Coturnix japonica: one gene and its partner. The protein of the gene in region 1 binds, or shares a complex with, the protein of each later gene. Links are inferred from orthologs where the notes say so. Each region holds a gene or a part of one and is shown in the gene's direction. Other genes may lie near its edges.

Evidence for each region.
Region 2: TENT4B (region 1) and ZCCHC7 share a complex: the UniProt entries of both Homo sapiens proteins name them as parts of the nucleolar TRAMP-like complex. The link is inferred for Coturnix japonica from reciprocal best matches to the Homo sapiens genes TENT4B and ZCCHC7.

Annotation. Positions count from the first base shown.
Region 1 is NC_029526.1:5,539,041-5,549,291, reverse strand, and holds the start of TENT4B (terminal nucleotidyltransferase 4B), read left to right. Parts: upstream 1-5,014; 5' UTR 5,015-5,169; coding exon 5,170-5,729; intron 5,730-10,251. UniProt on the Homo sapiens protein: Terminal nucleotidyltransferase that catalyzes preferentially the transfer of ATP and GTP on RNA 3' poly(A) tail creating a heterogeneous 3' poly(A) tail leading to mRNAs stabilization by protecting mRNAs from active deadenylation.
Region 2 is NC_029547.1:66,859,607-66,870,224, reverse strand, and holds the start of ZCCHC7 (zinc finger CCHC domain-containing protein 7), read left to right. Parts: upstream 1-4,058; 5' UTR 4,059-4,155; intron 4,156-4,185; exon of another isoform or gene 4,186-4,555; intron 4,556-5,794; 5' UTR 5,795-5,900; intron 5,901-7,666; 5' UTR 7,667-7,683; coding exon 7,684-8,368; intron 8,369-10,618.

The DNA of each region.
Region 1 (10,251 bases):
CTGTGTGCTGAGGATAACTATAACTTAAACCTAAGAAAAGGCATTAATGTTAGTTTGAAGCATTTTAGAAGAACTTCCATGTTTTCATTTAGAAAATGAAATGCTGGGTGATCACGATTGAAAGGCTCTCTGGGGGTCCCCAAGTCCATCCCCCTGCTCAAGGCAAGGCTTCATTTGGGGTCTGATAGGTCATGCTGGGCTTTGAGCATCTCCAGGAGTGGGAGTCTCACAGCTCTGGGGGAAACCTTTCATTTGCTTGACTGCCTTTATTGAGAACACTCCCCCACCTCTGCCTCTTACCTAATAGGAACTCCTCATACTGCAAACTGGGCTTCCTTTGGATGCCACCAAGAAGTGTCTGGCTCCAACTTTCCTTACACTCCCCATTTTGTAGCTGAAAACAGCAATTGTATTGCCCTTTTCTCCAGGCTGAACAGACCTGGCTCCTTCAGTCTCCAGCTGCTTTGGTGGCCTTCAGCGTCACCTGCCTCAGTGCATCCTGTGCTGGGCACCAAAGCTGGGCACAGTACTCCCAATGTGATTTCATGAGTACTGAAGAGAGGGAAGTGTCATTTGCTGCACTTGCTGGCCTTGTTTCTGTCAATGCTGTGCAGTATTCATTCGCCTTCATTCACTGCGAGGCTGCACTGCTGACTTCTCAACTTGCCCGCTGTGACCCTGAGGTTCTTTGCAGAGTTGCTCTCATTCAGTGAGGAGCCTGCTTGATTTTTGGTACTGCTCTGTTCCAAGTATAGGACTTCACATCTTGCATCAAGTAGGGCAGTCGGACCTGCTTCCTGGAGACTGTTAGAACAATTGTGTGTGTGTGGAGCAGGGGTTGTTACTAACAAGAAAACAAAAGGTTTTCTCTTAAAATACAAATCTGAAAGTTGCAGATAAAAGTCTCTGCTAGAAAGCCTATTTCTTATTATAATTTGACATACTCCATTTTTTTACTGCTAATGAAAGCAAAGACTGTCATTTACATCTGAAGCTATTCCAGAAGTAGCAATTATTTTCTTTTGGTTGGTTGCTGTGCACTAACAAGTTAGATACCTTGGAAAATCTTCCTTTATTTTATTGTAAGGTAGGTTCACAGTATAGACTGTATCATTTGCAGACGTGTTTTAATGCTTGCAGTATTTGCTTCTGTCTTTTGGTATACTTTGTTATGCAGGTAATGAGGACATACAAAGACAATTTCATGCGAGTTTGTACTAAAACTCATGTATGAAAGCTGAAATAGTCCCTTGTTCAGCTTTGTTTCACCTGAGCAGATTGAAGCACTTCAGTGGGGCTGTTGGGCTGAGGGTATGAAAAAAGGGGCAGGCTGGCTTTTCTGTCTGCTGCTTCTCAGGTAGGTTCCCATTGGTTTAGGGGGAAGTTGTAGCTCTTAGGAGGATTTTGTTGTTGTTTTCTTGGCTCACTGCAGATTTTAAGGAAACTTCTGTAAGTGATTTCTTGGCAGCTGGTGTTGTATGGTTGTGAGCAGCCTATTGCCCTCATCTGTGGTCCGTAGCAAAATGGAGCCAATATCTTCCTGCATATTTTGATGTGCACACTTTCATTTCTCTGTTGAATGAGGAAAATCTCACTGTATTACCCACTTAACTCCTAACATAGTGTAACTTGCTCTTGGTGTCTAATGAATTGCTTGTGAGTGAATATGAAAGAGTAATTTTTTTTTATGTTAACATAGAGAGCGTGTTCTTGTAAGGGGTGAGATAGAAGATAATATGACAACTATGGAAGACAATGAAAAGGCAAATTGTCTGTGATTTAAAGAAGTGTCAGATCATGGCCTAAAAACAGAAGAGATTTATAGGCTCAGCTGTAAGGTTTGGGCTATAAAAGTTGTTCTAACACAATTGAGGAAAATTAAGGCAGTGGAAGAGAAGATGATGTGGCTCAAGCTAAATGTTTAATGGGCTCTTCTGGCACTGATTTATTTGAGTAGTTTTAGAGTAGGCGAGACAAAGAGATCCTTGACAGCTTATAAAGACAAAGGCAGATCTTGGAGATGCTTTGAGGGTGGGAAGTACTGCCCTGATTAGCCAGTGGGCAGCCTAATTAAGCAGGTGCTAAAGACATATGTGATCTTCATCAGTTCATGTAGTCACACAGATAAGACTGTTATCAAAGCAGGTATCTTAGAATGAATTTGTTTGCTTATCCTTGTCCCTAAAGCATCTGTCTATGCTGCAGTGTAAAAACTGCTAGTCTGAGGTGTGAAGTACAGTAAAGGAAGAGGGGCTGCTGGCCTCTTCCTGCTCAGAAGCAGTGGGACGGGTGGTGGTGGCTGCTGCTTTGGCCTCTGCAGCCTGCAAAACATTGACTCCACAGCTGCATAGATAAGGAATTATCATTGCTACCTGGCTTGTTTTTACTCTTTATGAAGAGAAACAAGTGGCAAGATTTCATTAAGTATTTGTTGTGACAGAGCATTCAGAAGATGTCTGTAACTTTGTGGTTAACTATTAACTACTCAAGGTTTGCGCTGTATGTTGAGGGTATTTTTTGTGCAGTGTTGTAAGGATGTTCTCTGTAGATGAAGAATACTCGTAACCGGTACTACTTGGCTTGGTTCTATGTGTGTATTTTGAATGTGGAAGGAAAAAAAAATCAGAGCACAGTAAAGTTACAAAATGAGACCTGTAATCTGAGAACAAATTAAAATCAGTCTGTAGTTTAAGTATTATAAATGAAATGCGTATCTTGTGGCATGGTAACATTGACCAACCAACCAAAAGTGCTTATAAACTTCAGTTCTGTTTCCTTAATCAGTAATTTTCAGTAAAAGGATTCCCAGAGGACTGGAAAGAGCTGCCTAGTCTTGGAGTCTTACATTTACTGTTGCAAATTCAAATTCAGGCGATAGTAATTGTAATTGAAAGAAATCTAATGGTTCTTTGCTGGCACAGATGAATTGAGCAGGCAGTCTAAATATAGTCTCTTTGGATGTGCTCTTACGATACGTAACACTCAGATAATTGGCAAAAACTGAGAACTCGGACAGTGGCAGCAGAGGAAAGAATCTGAAGTTTCCCACAAGGGCTGAAGTGCTCTGTGTGGTGGAGCTCTCACTGAGTGCTGCGGAGTTCCTGTCTGTTCTCCAAGTCAGTTCAGACTGTTTAACTTCTGTACCTTCCCGGAAGAACAGCACGTATTTAAATCACTCTTACTTCATTTGTTTCAGTATTTTTTTCCTAAGTTCCTTGTTTCTGTGAGAGGCACAGACATAACGTTCCGTCAGACGTAATTCAGTGACCACATAAACACAGCTTGAGACTTGTACACAAAGAACATGATAAACGTTTGTCTTTTTTCTTTCAAATCCCAGCGTCCTCGCTGTTGTATTAAGGACTTAAATCAAAACGCAGGGGGGCTGAAATAAGGTATTGCTGCAACGATCTGTGCTGTTGGAAGCGTTGTGGCTGCTGCATGGCTGTTGGCACACAGGAGGGTCCTGGTGCAGCCCCAGCGTTGGGAGAGACCCTGAGTGGTCATGTCAATGCCTGTCCCACTTCTGAAGCTGTGTTGGGACTCGATAAATGTCCTCTGGGCTTTGTGCTCCTTTTCTTGTAACAAAAATCTCATCTGGAATTGTTTCCTTCCCCTTCTGGTGTGATTGCTGTTTTTGGTTTGTATTTTTTTTTACCTTCAAGGGAAATGGTGTTGGCCTTTTCGCACCCCCTGCTGCTGATGGAGAGTAAAGGGCACTTCAAGAATCTAACTGTGGAATGGCTGACAGCTAAAAACTCTGTGGTGTTTCTAAACAGCCTTTTTCTGAGGAATTGCCTCTTTAGTAAGGAGAAGTTAAAGTTCAAAGTCGTGACTAAAAAAGTCATGTCAGCTGTATTCAAGCATGGCAACTTTTTGCCTCTCTTTCCAGGCTCGTACCCTGATCTCATGTGCTTGTGGTATCAGACTGCTTTCCATGGCCACATATTTTGTGACTGTTATCTCCTTAATGGTAACGTGAGCTTTTATTACTGTTGCTCCCCCTTTCCTGTGCTGTTTCAGTACGAAGTTTATGAACTGAAGCCTTCTGATTTATATCTTTGTTCCTGAGCTGTGCTCAAGTCCCACCACTGTCCACTTGGTGTTGGTGGTAACTGCAGGTGATTTTCAAAGCAATTAATCAAATCTGTCACCTCAACAGCTGTGTCCGGCCCCTGAGATTCTCACTGGGGTTGGAGTCTCTCGGGCTGTGCAGATCAGTCGGACAAAGGCAGAACCTCAGAAGCAGAGGGCTCAGTGTCCCCCCAGCCCTGCTCCTGGCCATGTGGGACACAGGGTGAAGCTGCACTGTCGGTCTGTGGCTGTCAGCACCAAACGCTGCTGGGACACGTTGTAAACTTTCCACCTCATGGAATACTTGGAACCGAAGCACACCTTTCTAGTTCCAAACACTGTATTAGCTCCTGCTGCCTGAAGAGGAATCCTGTCCCACCCAGCGCTGGAACCTTTGTAGCTGTTATCATACGGAATACGTTTTAAGGCTGTAGTATGAAAGCACTACAGAAATAAAACAGCCTGACTAGAAGCCGTACCACTCCATTTTGCCGTTTGCTGCACGGTGTGCACTGTGTTTTGCCATCTGTCCGTACAAGCAATGGCAGCCGGGCGCTCCGTTTCCGTCCCTCGGTGCCGCAGGCGGGTCCCCCCAGCAGCTCACCCAGCTGCAGGGCAGCGCACGGCTGAGCAGGGGACGGGGCGGCAGTTACCGACCCCGCACCTCGCGGGAGGGAACCGAAGCGGCCGCTGCCCCGGGGCGGCCCCGCGCACCTGCTGCCCGCCGGGAGCCGGCGCCCCTCAGCGCGGGGACCGAGCCCCGGAGCAGCAGCGGCCGCCTCGCTTCGGAGAGACCCGGGAGCGGCGGAGAGACGGGAGCGGAGCGGAGCTCCAGCGCTGACAGCTCCGACAGCTCCGGCCCGGCCGCCGCCGCCCCCCTTTATTGCGCGCGGCCCGTGTGCCGCCGGCCCGGCCGGGCCCCGCCTCGCCGCGCTCGCCAGGAGGGGCGGGGGCTGTGGAGCGACGGCGGCGAGCAGGCAGGCGCGGAGCTGCCCTTCCATAGGAGCCGCCATTAACGCTGGGACCCGCTGACAGGGTCTCGGCGGCGGCGGCCGGCGCGGGGAGCGGAGGCGGCCGGGGTGGGTCCCCCGTTTGATGGATCCCCGGATCGCCTGGTTCCAGCCAGAGCAGCTCGGCCCCTCGAACCGCCTGTGGATGCAGATCTGGGAGACCACGCAGGGGGTCCGCAACCTCTACTTCCAGCAGCAGCAGCAGGAGCAGCAGCAGCAGCAGGAGCAGCAGCAGCAGAGCGCCCCCGCCGGGGCCGGCCCGGCCTCCCCGCCCGGCATGTACCGCGCCCCCCGCGCCGACCCCCAGCCCGACTTCCTGCCGCTCGAGAGCGCCAACAACCAGCACAACCGCGGACACCGACAGGCCTCGCCACCCCCGGGGGCCGCCGCCTGGGCCCGGCCCGCTCGGGGGGTGCCGCCCGCAGCCGCCGCCGCCGCCGCCGCGGCCGCCAGCAACAAGAGGAAGCGCGACAACAAGGCCAGCACCTTCGGGCTCAACTACAGCCTCCTGCTGGGGCCGCCCGGGCAGGGCCGGGCCCCCGCCCTGGGCGACGGGCCGGCCGCCAGGGCCCAGTCTGGCCTGGCCGAGTCGCACTACACCGGCACCCCATGGAAGAAGAGGAACTACAGCCAGGGAGTCGTGGGGTGAGCGCCGGGGAAGCGGGGCCTGCACCCGGCCCGGGGCCTCGGGGGGAGGAGGCCGGGGGGGCGCCGGGCCGCGGCACCTGGGGCGGGCGGCGGGGCGCGGCACAGGCCCGGGGGGCGGTGCGGGGCGGTGCGGGGCGGCCGAGCAGGGCCGGGCCGGGCCGCCGTGCGGGGACGAGGCCCGTGCTGCACAGCAGGCCCGGAGGGGCGGCTCCAGTGCAGGTGCTGGTACTGGGGAGGAAGGAGGCGTTCGCTCGAGGCCGAAGCGGCGCGTTCCGCGAGTGGCCGGGAGGTGTCTGTGTGCATGTTAATGGAGCGGGCACGCCTAGGTGCGGGGACGGGATCCGCTCGTCTCGCTGTCAGTGCGTGTGTGCACGTGGTGCGTGCTACACACGGATCGCTCGTGGAGTGCTCGGATCTCCCACCGCCGCACAGCTCTCGGTGTGGCCGTGCCCGCCCGCAGCCTTTGCGTTCCGGCTGTGTGTGTCCTCCGTTTCGCTCTTCGCTCGGCTGCCGGTGCAGCTCGGCACGCTGCGAGGATGTAGCACGGAGCTGCGGGCGGGAGGGCAGCGGGCTGTGCCCCGGGCACGCTCTGTACGACGTGCGGAACGGGCACAGAGCAGGAGCTGGGACCTAAAGATCTGCTGGTGGCAAAAGAGAGCGTTTATATGGGGCAGTGTGTTTTCCAGAGAGGTGACAGATAAGACACGTTCATATGCTGGTGCCCGTCCTCAGCAACAAACCTGTGTGTGTATAGAGCATTATGGATTTTGGTGTGGGTTTATTAATGGTTTTTGTGGATCTCTGGCTGTGGAATGCAAGTGCTGATCTGAGGATTTTGTCCATATTGTTTTTTCTGTTAGCTAGGTCTCATCCCTTGGTGTTGTTGAGGCCGCAGAGATCGACAGCAGGCAAACACGGATCTTCTGTCCGAAAGCTGTCCAAAGCCCCTCCTCACCCCTTTATTTAACATGTGGATGACTTTTGGTATGGGTGAATCCCTGGTTAAAATCCATTGATGCTTTCTGTGATTCAGTTTTTATTTTTAAAGTTCACGCTCTCAGAGTCCATCCTTTGGCTGTGACCCGTTTCTCCGTCCTCCCCAGCAGCAGCACACTGACATGTGTTTGTTAAGCGTGGATTTGCAGTGCAGTGTGAGCAGCTGTAGTGCCCTTTCCAATCCTTCATGCTTAGAAAGCATCAGGCCTCGCCCCAGGGTTCAGCTGGCCAAGGTGTGTGGTGACAGGAGGAGTGGGAAGGGCTTGGTTTAGAAATCAATATTGATGTGAGTGGGTCACTGCTGGTGTGCCCAGCTTGTGCCTGAGGGTCCTTCTGCTGCCTCCCACTGGGAGGTGCTGACCTCCCGCCTCCCAAAAACCATTCTTCTGTAAGAAGCTTCAGAACAAATATTCAAAGTTGTTGGTTGCTTTGGAAAACAAACTCTTACAGCCCCAGGCTCCCTATTTTCTTGCCAGCCACTCTGTTACCTTTACTGCTGGGGTTACTGTAGTTTGTAAAGTGACGTTGCAGAATTGTGCTGTTCTGAGTTCTATGGTCACTCTTTGTGCTGGAGCCTCCACAATGTCCTTCACAAGACTTACAAGTAGCACGTTCCAAGCATACTAAATCCAACTTTTTAAAGTTAGTTTTTGGACTCTGTTTACCTTCCAGCTTGTCATTTATTTACTTGGTAGTTGAGGATCACTTTTAGAAGCTCTTCTTTCTTGTAAATCTATAAACCTTTTCTCTGCGTTGAAGAGATGGAGTAGAAAAAGGGGCTGAGCTTCATCAGGAGCCACAAGGTAATAAGTGGACCCAAGTGTTGGAGGTGGTGACAGTTGCAGTAGGAGAATCTCAGTTGAATCGCTTTCATGCTTGAAGTTGGTTGCACAGTGTAGACTTATTTTTTCTTTTAGTGTCAAAAAGTGCTGAGATACGTTGGTGTGTGCTGGGCTGTCAGGTTTGTGGCGTGCATTTATGAGATGCTGAAGTGGGGCATGGTGGAGCTCCGTGTTACTGCCCAGCTGTGTGCTGAGCTGCTGCTGTGTGTTCCTTGCCAACAGGTGCTGGTGGGCTTCTGCCCCATGTCCTAGAGCACTGCATGGCACTGGTGGGCAGAGAGCTCTGTAACCCAGAAAACGAGGCTGTTGCTAATCTATCTCAGATTACACATTTCCAGTACTGGTTCTGGAATGTGTGTTGGTTCTTCCTAGCAGTTACTGGGTAAAGGAATACATGGTAGTTGTATTGCAAGCCTTATGCTGGTGTTCAAAGTATCCTTTCTCCCCTCTGTACTTGTTTCCGTGTAAATGTTACAAGTAATTAAGGCTTAGCCACTCTCCCTTGAATACCTTCCCTTATTTATTTCTTTTTTAGGTCGATCACTTTAAATGTTGAGTCTGTTGGCTGCCCCCATGTTGTTGAGCAGTCCCGTTTTCAAAAGGACAGGGCCTGACTTGCTCACATACACCACTGGGAGCAGACAGAATTCCTGTTTCCAGTGCAAGGATGTCACTTGAGGGTCCATTGCCTCTGAGCGCACAGTTCTACTGATGAGCTGCCTGGAAAAACTGCCTGGTAGTTCCTAGCTTGTTGGGCAGTTTATGTAAACATGTGACATCATGTAAGTCTCGCTACTGAGCTGCCTAAAGCTTTAGAGCTGCCTAAAGCTTTAGATCAATGTTTGAGGTGTTTCTTTTCAGTTGTTTTCATTTTTATTGAGAAACAACATTTCCTCAGTTCACGCAGTGTGTGTGAGGTGGTAACCGAGTAACAGCCATAACCCACCACTGCATGGATTTCACATCAGGACATTTATCTTACAGACCGTGCACAGTATTTGTGAGCATTCATTGATGCAGAAATACTGGCTGCGTTCAACGCGTGGACATCTTATTCTGGCATATCTTTAATGCTGTTCCTTACAGAAGTGTTCAGACCTCCAGTTCTGTTGATAATGTAGATGCTGTGTTACTCATACTCCTCTTTGCTTTGTGCTGGCACTCTCAGCTTTGTGGCATGGGAAGCAGCACTGGAAAGCACGTGTTTGGTGCTGCCTGAGTTGCTTTGTGCTGTCAGACTTGGGTGCCTGTCTTGTGTCCTCTGCTGCCGTTGTCAGCGGGCAGTGGTGCTCCAAAGAGCCGATAGCACAGAAAATGAACCTAAAGTTGTGCAGGACCTGGATGATGTTGCTGGATGTAATATGTCCCTTTAAAACCATGATTGAATTTACCTGGATGTGGTACTCCTAGCACTAAAGGTAGAAGGTGTAGATGGGTACGTGGTTTGGGGCCTAGGGGGATTCTGAGTTGTTCCCTCCCCTCCAAGGACAGCAGTGAATGCTGACAGCACTGTGTCATAGCTGTAAGGACACAAAAAGATCCGGGGAACTAAAATGTGTCCTACAGCTCTGTCTGAGCTAAGGCTGAGCCAGGGTAAAAGAACTGCATAAGCCAGAAGCTTTATATGAAACAACAAAACCAAAAAAAGCCAGTGAAAGCCACACAGCTCATTGTGGCCTGTCCCCTCCTGTTTCTCTGATGCTTGCACTGAAGGGAAGAGCTCACGAGCAGCTCCGGGGATGTGGGTTTGGGGACTTTGTAGGGAACTGGATAAGTTTTACCAGAACATACAGTCAAATAGGAAGAACTTGGCTAATGTGTGAGTTTAGGAAGGAAAATGTTATGTGTAGTAGTGAGGGAGAGGCTGGGTTAAGTTGAAGACTGAGTGTTTTGGAGTACTGAAAGCACAGTGAGAACAGTCTCCCAGGCCCAATGGAGGTGCAGCAGGCTGGCACAGTGCAGGGTTTCCCTGTGTGTCAGGCTGGAGGAGGGGATGCTGTGAAATAGAACCATAATACTTCAGGAAGAAGTGGCTTAAAGCTGCATGTGCTTGCTGGAGAAGTTCTCATCTGTTATTTTCATGTGGCATTGTCAGCTCTTTGGGCCTCTTATTGACTTCTATGGCAGAAGTTCAGCATGCAGGTGTGTGCGCTGTGCTGAGCCTGAGCTGAGCAGTGAGTGTGTGGCTGCAGCAGGGCAGTGGGCAGCCTGAGCCCCACGTCTCACAGCTCTCACTTGTGTGTGCTGTCAGCCACAGCAGCAGCATTGCCATGTGGGCTGGAGCATGGGCACAGCAGCTGAGTGTATCATGAGCACAGCAAATTGGTGTACCTGTACTGCTGACTTGTGTGGCTCAGTGCCCAACCTGGGCAGGTGTAATGATATCCTCATTTGCTGTGCTGCTTTTCATCGTGTACTCTTCAGTGTTTGAAACGAACGCATGGGTGATACTTGGTCTGCTTGCACTAGCTTGGCGCCTACACAACTTCACATAAATAAACCAATGCTTGTTGTTCTGAAGTGCTGGTGAAACAGCAGTGAGGTGTGTGCACGCTTCTTAATGTATCCTTGGAGTAGTTGCACGTGTTATGGACCTCATGAAGATGTGTATCAAAACATGGGTTGCACTTGAATTCACCGTGTACATATGCACAGAAGTTCTATCTGCTCCCTGAAACAGT
Region 2 (10,618 bases), on another chromosome or scaffold:
TGCACCCTCTGCACCCCCTCACATTCCTCTCAATGATTTGCTTTGGCAGACCTGCGGTGTCTGAAGGGAAACCCCTCAACCCAGGTTGAGTCACCGTCCTTGGATGCATTTAAGAGCCGTTTGGATGTGGTGCAGGGATATGATTCAGCAGAGGGTTGTTAGAGTTAGGGTACTATGGTTAGGCTGCGGTTGGACTTGATGATCTTGAGGTCTTTTCCAACCCGAGTAATTCCACGACTCTATGATTCTATGACCCCTGCAGTAGGGGGCAGCAGAAATGCTGTTTTCCAAAGGATGGATGCTCAGGGACAACAGAAGACAGCAACTTTCTTGCTGTCTTGGTCCGTCTGTCCTTACTCCAAGTGCGTTGGCTCTTTACAGGACAAGGGACTTTTCTTCACCTGAAAACGCTGAGGATTCTTATTCGCCTGGACTTGGAGATAGGTGGTAAAAACTGGGGTAATTTGGGAAAGGAAATGTTTTCTCTGAGGGACCTTCACGGGGGTTTTGGAGCCTGAGCATCGCTCTGCAGCTCCGGAGAAGGGGAGCGGACCGTGTGCGGCCCCGTCGGCGCTCAGCATCCCTCAGTGCCCGCTTTGCTTCATCACCGCCCTGCAGACAAACCACACTCTGCTCTCCCCCAGCCCTTATTCCCCCCATTTCCTCCGCTCCCGTTCCCTTCTCTGCAGCCCAAGCTGTAAGTAACAAGCCGTGAGGCGCCGCGGAGCTGGCTCCATGGAGCTCCGTAATTAACACTCCCTCCCTTCTCCCGCTGTTCTGTTGAAGCTGCAAAGCGAAGCACCGGGAGGAGGAGGAGCGGGCCAGGTAGTGGGTGGGAATTTAATTAACTTCGGAGCATGAAGGTGCGGACCGGCCGCAGCTCGGTTAATATGCGGGATGCACAGCCGGGTCCGGTCTGTTTCCCCGGTGGGACTCAGCAGGGGGGACCACTCAGCTCCTGTAGGTCTGCCGACCTTCCTATTTACCCCCCTTTTCAATACAAAGTCTTCTGAAAGTGATGTTCCTTTAGGGTAGGGTATTTCAGCCCACAACAAACTGGAGGTGACAACAGGAGACAGATGCCACCTCGGTTATTTGTTAGTGGCTCATTCACTTTCCATCCTGGTCCCCTCCCTGGTGTTCCCTGGACAAACCCAGCTCCTCTGCAGCCCTCAGCCCTTCGAGGGGCCCTTTGCCCAGCCAGGTGCTGCTGGAGCATCTCTGCCTTCACACCTTCACACCTTGACCTCCTCATCCCCTAAACTGTGTGTATTTTGCCAGAGCAGGACCAACAAAGATGGAACTCTCAGCCTGCCCACCACGTAAAAGCAATGATGTGAAGTGAACCTATAGGCAAGAGAAAGCAGCACCCACGCATGGACGCCCTAATAACAAGTAGCACTGCTGCGTATAATTCTGGATTTCTCCATACTGTTTCCTACAGCACTTGAAACCATACATCAGGAAGAAGAGGAGTCCTGCAGGCTTCCTTGTGGCTGCAGGGAGAGCAGAGGCTGACAGCACCAACAAGCAGCGAGGCCTGCACAAAGCCTACCAACAGAGCTGCACATTCTTGGGTGCCACCTACTGGCATTTGGACTGAATAATGCCAGTTTACACGTGGGAAATCTCCTTGTTTTTACACTTTTAAAACGCCCAAAGCCTGTGGTGTAATAACAACTGAATTTCTGCAAGTCTGGAAGACTCGGAGACCTGAAGTGTCTCCAAGCAGTGGGAGATGCTGCAAATTTCCCTCTGCAGCATCTCTGAATGTTTCCATCTACTTTTAGAATCTTGGAATGCTGTGGGTGCTGGGAGTGGAGGGAAAGGGGATGTTCTGCCCATGGGAAGCAAAACCCATCAGAACATGGAGCACAGAGGGCTCACAGCATCAGCAACCAGGTGTAATGGGGCTGCCAGCTCCCTTCTTCTACTGGCCGTGAGTGTTGGAGCCTGAATCTCACTTGTGCACCTATTGCACAAGTCAGTGCATACCAAATGGGAGGTGATCAAAGGTTGTGAAAGGTTTGGACTGAGCCCATATGCAAGGCAGTTCATCATTTATGAGGCAGAACTCAGTTTGCTTAAGGAGCATGTGTGAAATTGCCACTGAGCGAGCATCAGACATAAACCCCTAATTTAAGGCAGGCAACCAACCCAATCTGCTGTGCAGCAGCAACATAAGCCTGTACACATCTGTACAATGGACCACTCTGGTCATACCAACAGCAATGTTTTGCAATTGTTTTACAACAGTTAATTTCATATACATTTGAGAGGGTTTTTGTAACAAGCAGAGGCAGATAAAAATCAGCATTCTTCTGAAAGTGCTAATGTTACTAGGCTCAAAATACAGGCTGAAATTACCTGCCAATAATGTTGAAAACGCAGTACAAGTATTAGGAAAGTCCCTGTATAAAGGCTTACAAAAATGGAAAGTGAAAGCTCTGGGCTGTCCCTTGGGTGTCTTGCTCTTCCCAACCTTTATAAGTATATGAATTAGAAATCAAAACACAATGAGAACAGCCAGAATGTCCAGCTTTCCAGCACAGCCCAGAAAGGTACCAGGACGTCACTGAATTTTCCCTAAATAATGCTGATTTGGTTTCTGAAATATGCTCTTGTACAGAGGGAGCTTTTACCTCACGCTGAAGTTTAAGCTCCCTTACATATTTATCTGCAATAAGATGCATTGAAAAACCTTTAACCGCAGTTCATCAGAACAGTAGACAAAACCACCTGGCAAAGAATTTCAGCCCACAGAATGTCTACTTTTGGCAAAGTTCTCATATTCAGAAGTAGTAATTGATGAGGAAATTGAACATTCTGGTTTCAGGCAATCTCTCATACAATTGCATAGGAGCTACATACAAGCTGCATATGGGCTGAATAGGAGCTACATACGGGCTGCATAGGGGCTGCATAGGAGCTGCATAGGGGCTGCATAGGAGCTGTATAGGAGCTGCATATGGGCTGCATAGGAGCTGCATAGGGGCTGCATATGAGCTGTATAGGAGCTGCATAGGGGCTACATAGGAGCTGCATAGGGGCTGCATATGAGCTGTATAGGAGCTGCATATGGGCTGCATAGGGGCTGCATATGAGCTGTATAGGGGCTGCATACGGGTTGCATAGGAGCTGTATAGGGGCTGCATATGAGCTGTATAGGAGCTGCTTATGGGCTGCATAGGAGCTGCATAGGGGCTGCATAGGAGCTGCATAGGGGCTGCATGAGCTGCATACGATCTGCATAGGGGCTGCATAGGAACTGCATACCGGCTGCATATGAGCTGCATAGGGGCTACATACGAGCTACATAGGAGCTGCATAAGGGCTGCATAGGAGCTGTATAGGAGCTGCATAAGACCTGCATAGGGGCTGCATAGGAGCTACACACGAGCTACATGGGGGCTGCATAGGAGCTGCATAGGGGCTGCATAGGAGCTGCATAGGAGCCGCATATGAGCTGCATAGGGGCTGCATATGAGCTGTATAGGAGCTGCATAGGGGCTGCATATGAGCTGTATAGGAGCTGCATATGAGCTGTATAGGAACTGCATAGGGGCTGCATATGAGCTGTATAGGGGCTACATATGAGCTGCATAGAAGCTGCATAGGGGCTGCATAGGGGCTACATAGGAGCTGCATAGGAGCTGTATAGGAGCTGCATACGAGCTGCATAGGGGCTGCATAGGGGCTGCATAGGAGCTGCATATGGGCTGCATATGGGCTGCATATGGGCTGCATATGGGCTGCATATGGGCTGTATATGGGCTGCATATGAGCTGTATAGGAGCGGCTTACGGGCTGCATATGAGCTGTATAGGAGCGGCTTACGGGCTGCATATGAGCTGTATAGGAGCTGCATAGGAACTGCATACCGGCTGCATATGAGCTGCATAGGGGCTACATACGATCTGCATAGGGGCTGCATGAGCTGCATACGATCTGCATAGGAACTGCATAGGGGCTACATAGGAGCTGTATATGGGCTGCATAGGAGCACAACACACCCCTTCCCACCCCTCACCCCCGTCCCCAGCCGCCATCCCACCCTTATCTCCCAGCCGGGGCGGAGCCGGACACACGTGCTGCCGGTGGGCGGCCCGATTCCGTCACTTCCTTCTCGTCGCGTCCCGGTTCGGCCCGCAGTGAGTACGTGAGCGGCGCCGCTTCCTTCCCCCTATGCTGCCTTCTCCCTCATCCCGGCCCAACGCTGTTCCGTCCTGGTCCCGGTCCCGGTTCTGGTCCCGGTTCTGGTGCCGTTTCCTGCCGGTCCGAGCGCCCCGGGCCCGGCTCGTTCTCAGGGTCCCACCTTCCTCCCCGGTGCTCCGGCCCAGGCGCGGTCCTGACACTGAGTTCATATAATAACTGTGTTTAAATAATCGCTGTGGTGGTTATTTGGTGTTTTCATGCCTTCATAAGGCTCGCAAGAACACAGATGTGATCTTCATTTGGGTGTTTGCTACTTAAAAGTTGATTATTTTGATGGTTTATGTCAATGAAAAAGGAGCTGTGATGCTTCTGATGGAGGGCCCAGAAACAGGCCTAGCAGGTGAAGAATTTCACTTTATTATGCTTTTAGATTTAAATCCTTTATCGATTTTGGTTTTCCAGACCTTAACAGTCTGGAGTATGGGGTCAGTTTGGGTATTACAAATACATCTAAATAGGAAACTGGAAAAGAAAGCTGCTCTGCATAAAACTATACAGACTGTTGATATCTGCTGCCATGCTGAACCTCTGTTCTGGTAGGGAACTGTGATTTTAGAGAGGTTTTGGAACTGTGATTTTAGCCAGGTTTTGTATTTTCATCAAAATGTCCTTTTTTTCCCCATTTTTTTGTTGTCCCAGTCTGTATCAGAGATACTGGCTGTAAGCTTTTCTTTTGCCTTTACTCCTTAAGACACACAAGGATATATTTGTTGCTGTATTTTCAATACAGCCTTTGTCATAAATAGTTTGTGTTACTGCACAGGCCAAGCAGAAAGCAAGGGAAATATGGAGAATTCATTGGTGATTTGTGATGGGAACACTGCACTCACACTATAGGGTGAAATAAGAGATATATATATTGTTAAATTGATTTATTTGTTTTCAAAGTTCTATCAGTATGTGAAGTTAAGCACCAGGTGAATTCTCCTTCTGTCTCTTTGCCTGTGAGTCACCATTAACATCTCATTTCTGACTACAGCTGTTTGTTATTTTACCAAGTAAGGATGTTTTTATTTTAATGAACTCAACTAAAGTGCTGGCAAGCAATCTTTGTAAATCTCCTGAGAAAATGCCCTCCTTTACCCCTCAGCAATTTCTAGGCATAGCCACCTGGAGTTTTGTTCAAGGGCAGTTAAAAGAAACTCGGATTACTGTGCTTTGGGTTTAGGTTTGTTTTATTTTATTTTTTTTTTACATTATTAGCCCTTTACTCGAAGTTCTTAAGGCCTGACAAAGAGGTGCTCAGATGCTTTAGAGGAAGCCTGTGCTGTGTTGAGGTAGCAGCAGGATGTTCCAGCTGTAGCAAAAAGATTTAGACTGTTGTTCATCGTCTAGATGTTAGTAAGAGATTGCTGGTGCTGTGTCAGTCTGAAAAACTGCAAATCTTTCTGTTGAGCTTCTTTTCTCTTTCTTGAAGGCAGTGTTTTTGTCTGCTTTGGTTATTGCTCGAAGCCTATTTCTCATGCTGAGTAAAGTGGGAGGACACAGCTCTTGCCAGAATTCTACAGCAGTGAATGGTAGAAATTGGTATCTTTACATTATTTTGCTATGCTGATGTTTGGTGTTTCTCATTTCTCAGTGGCCTGATGTATACGCTGAGCAAGACAAAGAGCCTTTCATAGTTCCCTACCATCGAGGACCTGAAAGAAGTACAAGCCATTGACTCTCCTGACACTCAGTAGACTGTAAGTGTGGTGCAGTGCTGCCTTGTTTTTAATCCTATCTTCAGAATGCCATGTCTGTAAGTAAGCTACATGGGTATCCCTTAACACTTCAGATCCACTGGTCTTGATGCGTGTTTTCAGATATGGCTGGGGTTCTTACTTGGTGTGACTTCGTACAGTGGCTGACAGGAGCAAGAGTGAATTAAGTTATATTTTCTAGTATCACTAACATTTCTGCATGCTTCAGGTGGATTCTTTGGTTTCGTGCATTGCTGAAAGTCTTTTTTTTTAAAATTTATTTTCTATAATTGCTGACTGATGCAGTAAATCTGCCTTATTAGTGCCAGCTGTGCTTTTATCCTCATACTGTGGTTGGAAGTAGATGATCTTTAAGGTCTCTCCCAACCCAAGCCGTTCTATGATGGGCATTATGTTTTCCTGCTTTATGTTTTACATGTTTCTCACTTTTTCGTTTGTGTGTGGAGAAAAAAGTGTTTCCTCTGACTTTGATGTTTGACTTCTGATGTGGCAGGAATGCAGGTGAGGACTAATTTATCATGATGAAGGTGGAACTCTGATAGGATGCTCACAGAAAGCTGCCACAGAGGGAGCTTTTGGGTTCTGTGAATACCATAATCATACAAATCATTTACGTCTAGGGCTCCCAGATCTAAGTGTTAATACTTGTATGTCTATATAGGGTACTTTCACAACCATAAAACTGATGTCTGGCAGTTTTTCATGCCCAGAAAATCTTGCTGGCTTCCATAGAACTAACACAGAAATAGATAGTCTGTTCAGAGAAAGTATCTTCTTTCTTCCATGCATGATTTGTGCATGCAAATTAAATTATGCAGCCTGTGAGGTAGACAAAGTAGCTTCAGAATACCTTTGAATTTTCTGTCTGGCTCGTGGGTATTTAGTGAACTCCAGAAATAGCTTTGACTTAGTCAGGACCATAGAGTCAATGATGCTGGAAGGAAATTCTAGAGGTGATCTAATCCAGCTGCCTTGAGTCAAAGCAGTGTAACTGGGTGCAGTTTGTTCAGAGTCCCATTGCATCTTGAATTTAATTAATGGTTGAACCTCCACAGCCTTTTTTAGGCAATACAGCAAAAAAAGTTTTTTCTTATGTTCAAGTGAAATCTATATTTTATTTTTCATCTGGGTCCATTTTCTTTAGTCCTCCATCAGGTTCTTATGTACATCAGCAAGACACACTGAGCCTTCCACGCTGAACTGCCCCAGCTGTCACATTCTTCCCCATCTGACAGATGCTCCGGGCCCTTAATCGCTTTAGTCACCACACTCACTCTAATACACCCATATTATCCTGTTGTGGGGCAACCCAGAGCTGTATGTGGCACTGCAGGTGTAAAGTGAATGAGTGATAGAATATTCCCAGATGGAAGAGACCCACAGGGACCATCAAGTTCAACTCCAGGTTCCTCGCAGAACAGCCCAAAAATCTCCTGATCCACACGGAAACCTTGATTTTGAATCCAGGATGGAGGAAAGCTTTGGAATATGAGATCTTTCACAGCTGTCAGAAGCCAGAGCAGCTTCGGTTAAAGTAATAAGTAACATGAAACAAAATGCACCCTTGCTTAGCTTTTGCTGGCACTGTTGGCAATGTTAATTTTGTTGCTGTAAACTCTGTTGTCTGCTATATGTAGAGCTTAACAACTAACCTTAGAAATCTCAGGAAGACCGAAGGTGTTATTTGAAAGATATTTTGAGGCGTATGTTCATGAGTGTACTGATAGAATCTTTTGTGTTTCTTACAGACAATTTGGTTTCCAGAATGTTTTATGAATGTGAAGACTCTGAGGAGAGTGATGCATATGAAGATGAACTTTACCGTGAGGATTCATCCTCTGAGCCAAGTATTGACAGTGAGGTGGAATTTCATCTCTACAGCCAGGTCCACTATTCCCAAAATCTGTCTGAAATCGGCTCAGTGGAGGTGTCTGAAGAGGCAGAAGATGCCGTGGGATTCACAGATCAGAGTCCAGGTCTAACTGTGACACCACTTGAAGACAAGAATATTGTTGAACTGCCTGACCCTGATGGTCAGATTTCTGATGACCCTGAGATCATTGTTTTGTCTGATACGCCAGAGGAAGATAGCGTTTACAATAGCAAAGCACAAAAGTCAACAGGCTCTTTAGCTGAAGGTAAAACACGTATCCATGGATCTTCTAAAGCAAATCGTTCCAAAGCCACTGAATATGATGCTCCGTATCCTGCTGGATCAGACACAGAGTTTTCAGGGCAAGGTCCTGGTGGGAAACTTACCTCCATTAGCTCAGGACCTCTCAGCAACCAAGAGGTGATGGTAATAGATGATAGCTCAGACGATGACGAGGAGAGCGTGATTTCTGAAAGCGATGATGTTGAGAGCTGGATGCTTTTGGGATGCAGTGCAGATGACAAAGACAAAGATATAATGTTGAACCTTGAAGGCTGTGCAACTCCCACTGAGGAAGGTTAGTACTTTATTTAACACTTGTTTATTCTTCTGTATGTGAATTGATTTGTCTGCAGCAATACTGGTATTTTAAGAAGCTATCATATAGTGCACTGATGTTTTTAAGGGATTAACAGAAATCAAATGAGAGTGTGCAATGATGGACACAAATGATGGAAACAGCCCTTTGTAACGTTCTTATTTCAGTAGTGTCAAAAGTAGGCACTTTTTAAGGAGATATGAAAACAACATTTTTACTGGTAGAAGTCCAGAAGCCATGTCAGCATGATGCGTGCTGTAAACGTTCATTCAACATTCCTGCATGTTTCCTAGTTGTAAATGGCAGGTATAGTATGAGATCAAAAGAGAATACCGTGATTTATTACTGTAAATGTAGAAATATAATACTTTGAGGGTGAACGATTTAAAATCAGTGACATGAATTGCCCCAGACAGCCACATTATATCCAGAATGTATGTCACTTTTTTTTCCCCTATAAGTGATTCTAGTTATTCTAAACTGCAGTTGCTAATAATCATCTTGAAGTTGCTAAACGCCATTCATCTTCTTATATTTCTGTGTTCTGCTTTTCTGTTCAAGACTAGAGTGAATTGGTTTGTGGGATTTATTGCTGTAATTACCCATTGGGATGCAAATGCTTGGGGCCAAGTGTTGACTTCTGTGACAGCAGAGCTGTGTTTTGCACAGAGTATGGTTATTATGTTTTCTGGTATTTATTTATTTTTTTTTTTTCCTTAAAACTAATGGGCAAGCAAATGGCCTGGAGCTGCATTTGTTTTATTCAGTTTTCTCCATGTATTTCCTTGGTTTCTGTTCTAAAGCTGCTGATTCTAGCAGTAAAGGCCCTTCCCCCCCCCCCCAAGAAAAAAAAACAAAAACAGAAGATAGAAAAGTGCTTAAACAACATTTGGGACTGTAAGCAAATGTCATAGTTACATACATTTTAAGCAACAGAATGCAATTAATTTATCAGAATGACTATTCTTAAAGGGAGCGATTTGAAAATGAATATTTATGGCTTCATTCTTTGTACTATTCTAATGACGATGTGCTGAGGAAGGTTCCTAAAGATCCTTATGCAATCCGTCAGCAGAAGGATTGGCTGTTGTGTGGTATGTTTATTAACAAACATCATACTATGTTTCCTGATCACGTTCTTAGATATTGACAATAATCAAGCAGTATTCTAAGGAGATAATGGGAAAATTTCCCTGTGCTGTATAAACTTGTCATACTCTTCAAAACTGGAAATATTTAATGTAGATGTACACATTTTTTTCTGAGGTGCTTGAATTTGAAGTCTCAGTCACACAAGCAGCTCACAGATGTAACTGTTCTGTTATGATTTTTGTTCTTGCCCCTACTTGTAAGCTTCTTGAGACCACCCCCCCCCTCGTGCCATTCCTCACCCCAGCAATGAGTTGCAGTACCCTTATGCTTGGAGAGCTGAGGCATATAGAACTGATGGGGTTTGGTTTATACACGCATTTTTGATTCCATTTCAGCTTTTTGCATTCTGCATCTGTAGTACTTTGCAGAACACCTTAATGCTTACACGTTTCTTTCTAATTCTGAATGAGTTAATGATGTATTTACCCCCATCAGGAAACCCAGAACAGTGTGGCTCTGATCTTGAGCCCTGACACAGACCCTGATGTGTAAAATACAGTATTGAGCTGAACTGCAGTTCCATCATGCATTTTTCAGCGGTGTTTGAATTCCTAATAAGTGTTATTTGGGTAGCTCCAGGGCAGAGGGGCTTTGCACAGCCAATCTTTTCTCCAGTGCATGTTGTGATGACAGTGCAGGGACAGAGGTTCACAGCAACTGTGTGCTTTGTATGTATGTGTGTATATAGCTGAAAGCCAAAACAGTATCGAAATAGCTTTAGGAAATAGGACCCATCACTCTTCTTAACATAAAGTAGCAGTAATTTGTATATTGAGCTTTACACTGCCTTATCTCCCAAGTTCTAAAGGACTCTTTTGTTGAAACTAAAATGTAAAAGACTTAAATCTAAGGAAAGAAGGGAATTTTTAAACAAATATTTGTGTTAGCAAATTGTCCTCTCAAAGATCATAGAATCACCCAGGTTGGGAAAGACCTCGAAGATCATCAAGTCCAACCATAGTATATTCTTTGCTTATTGATTTGAATTATTCTGAGATTTGTGCACAGCTCTGTTCTGAGTTCCTCAAGAAGATCAGATCTTCAGCTGACTGTGTGATGTACAAATCACTGTTTGAG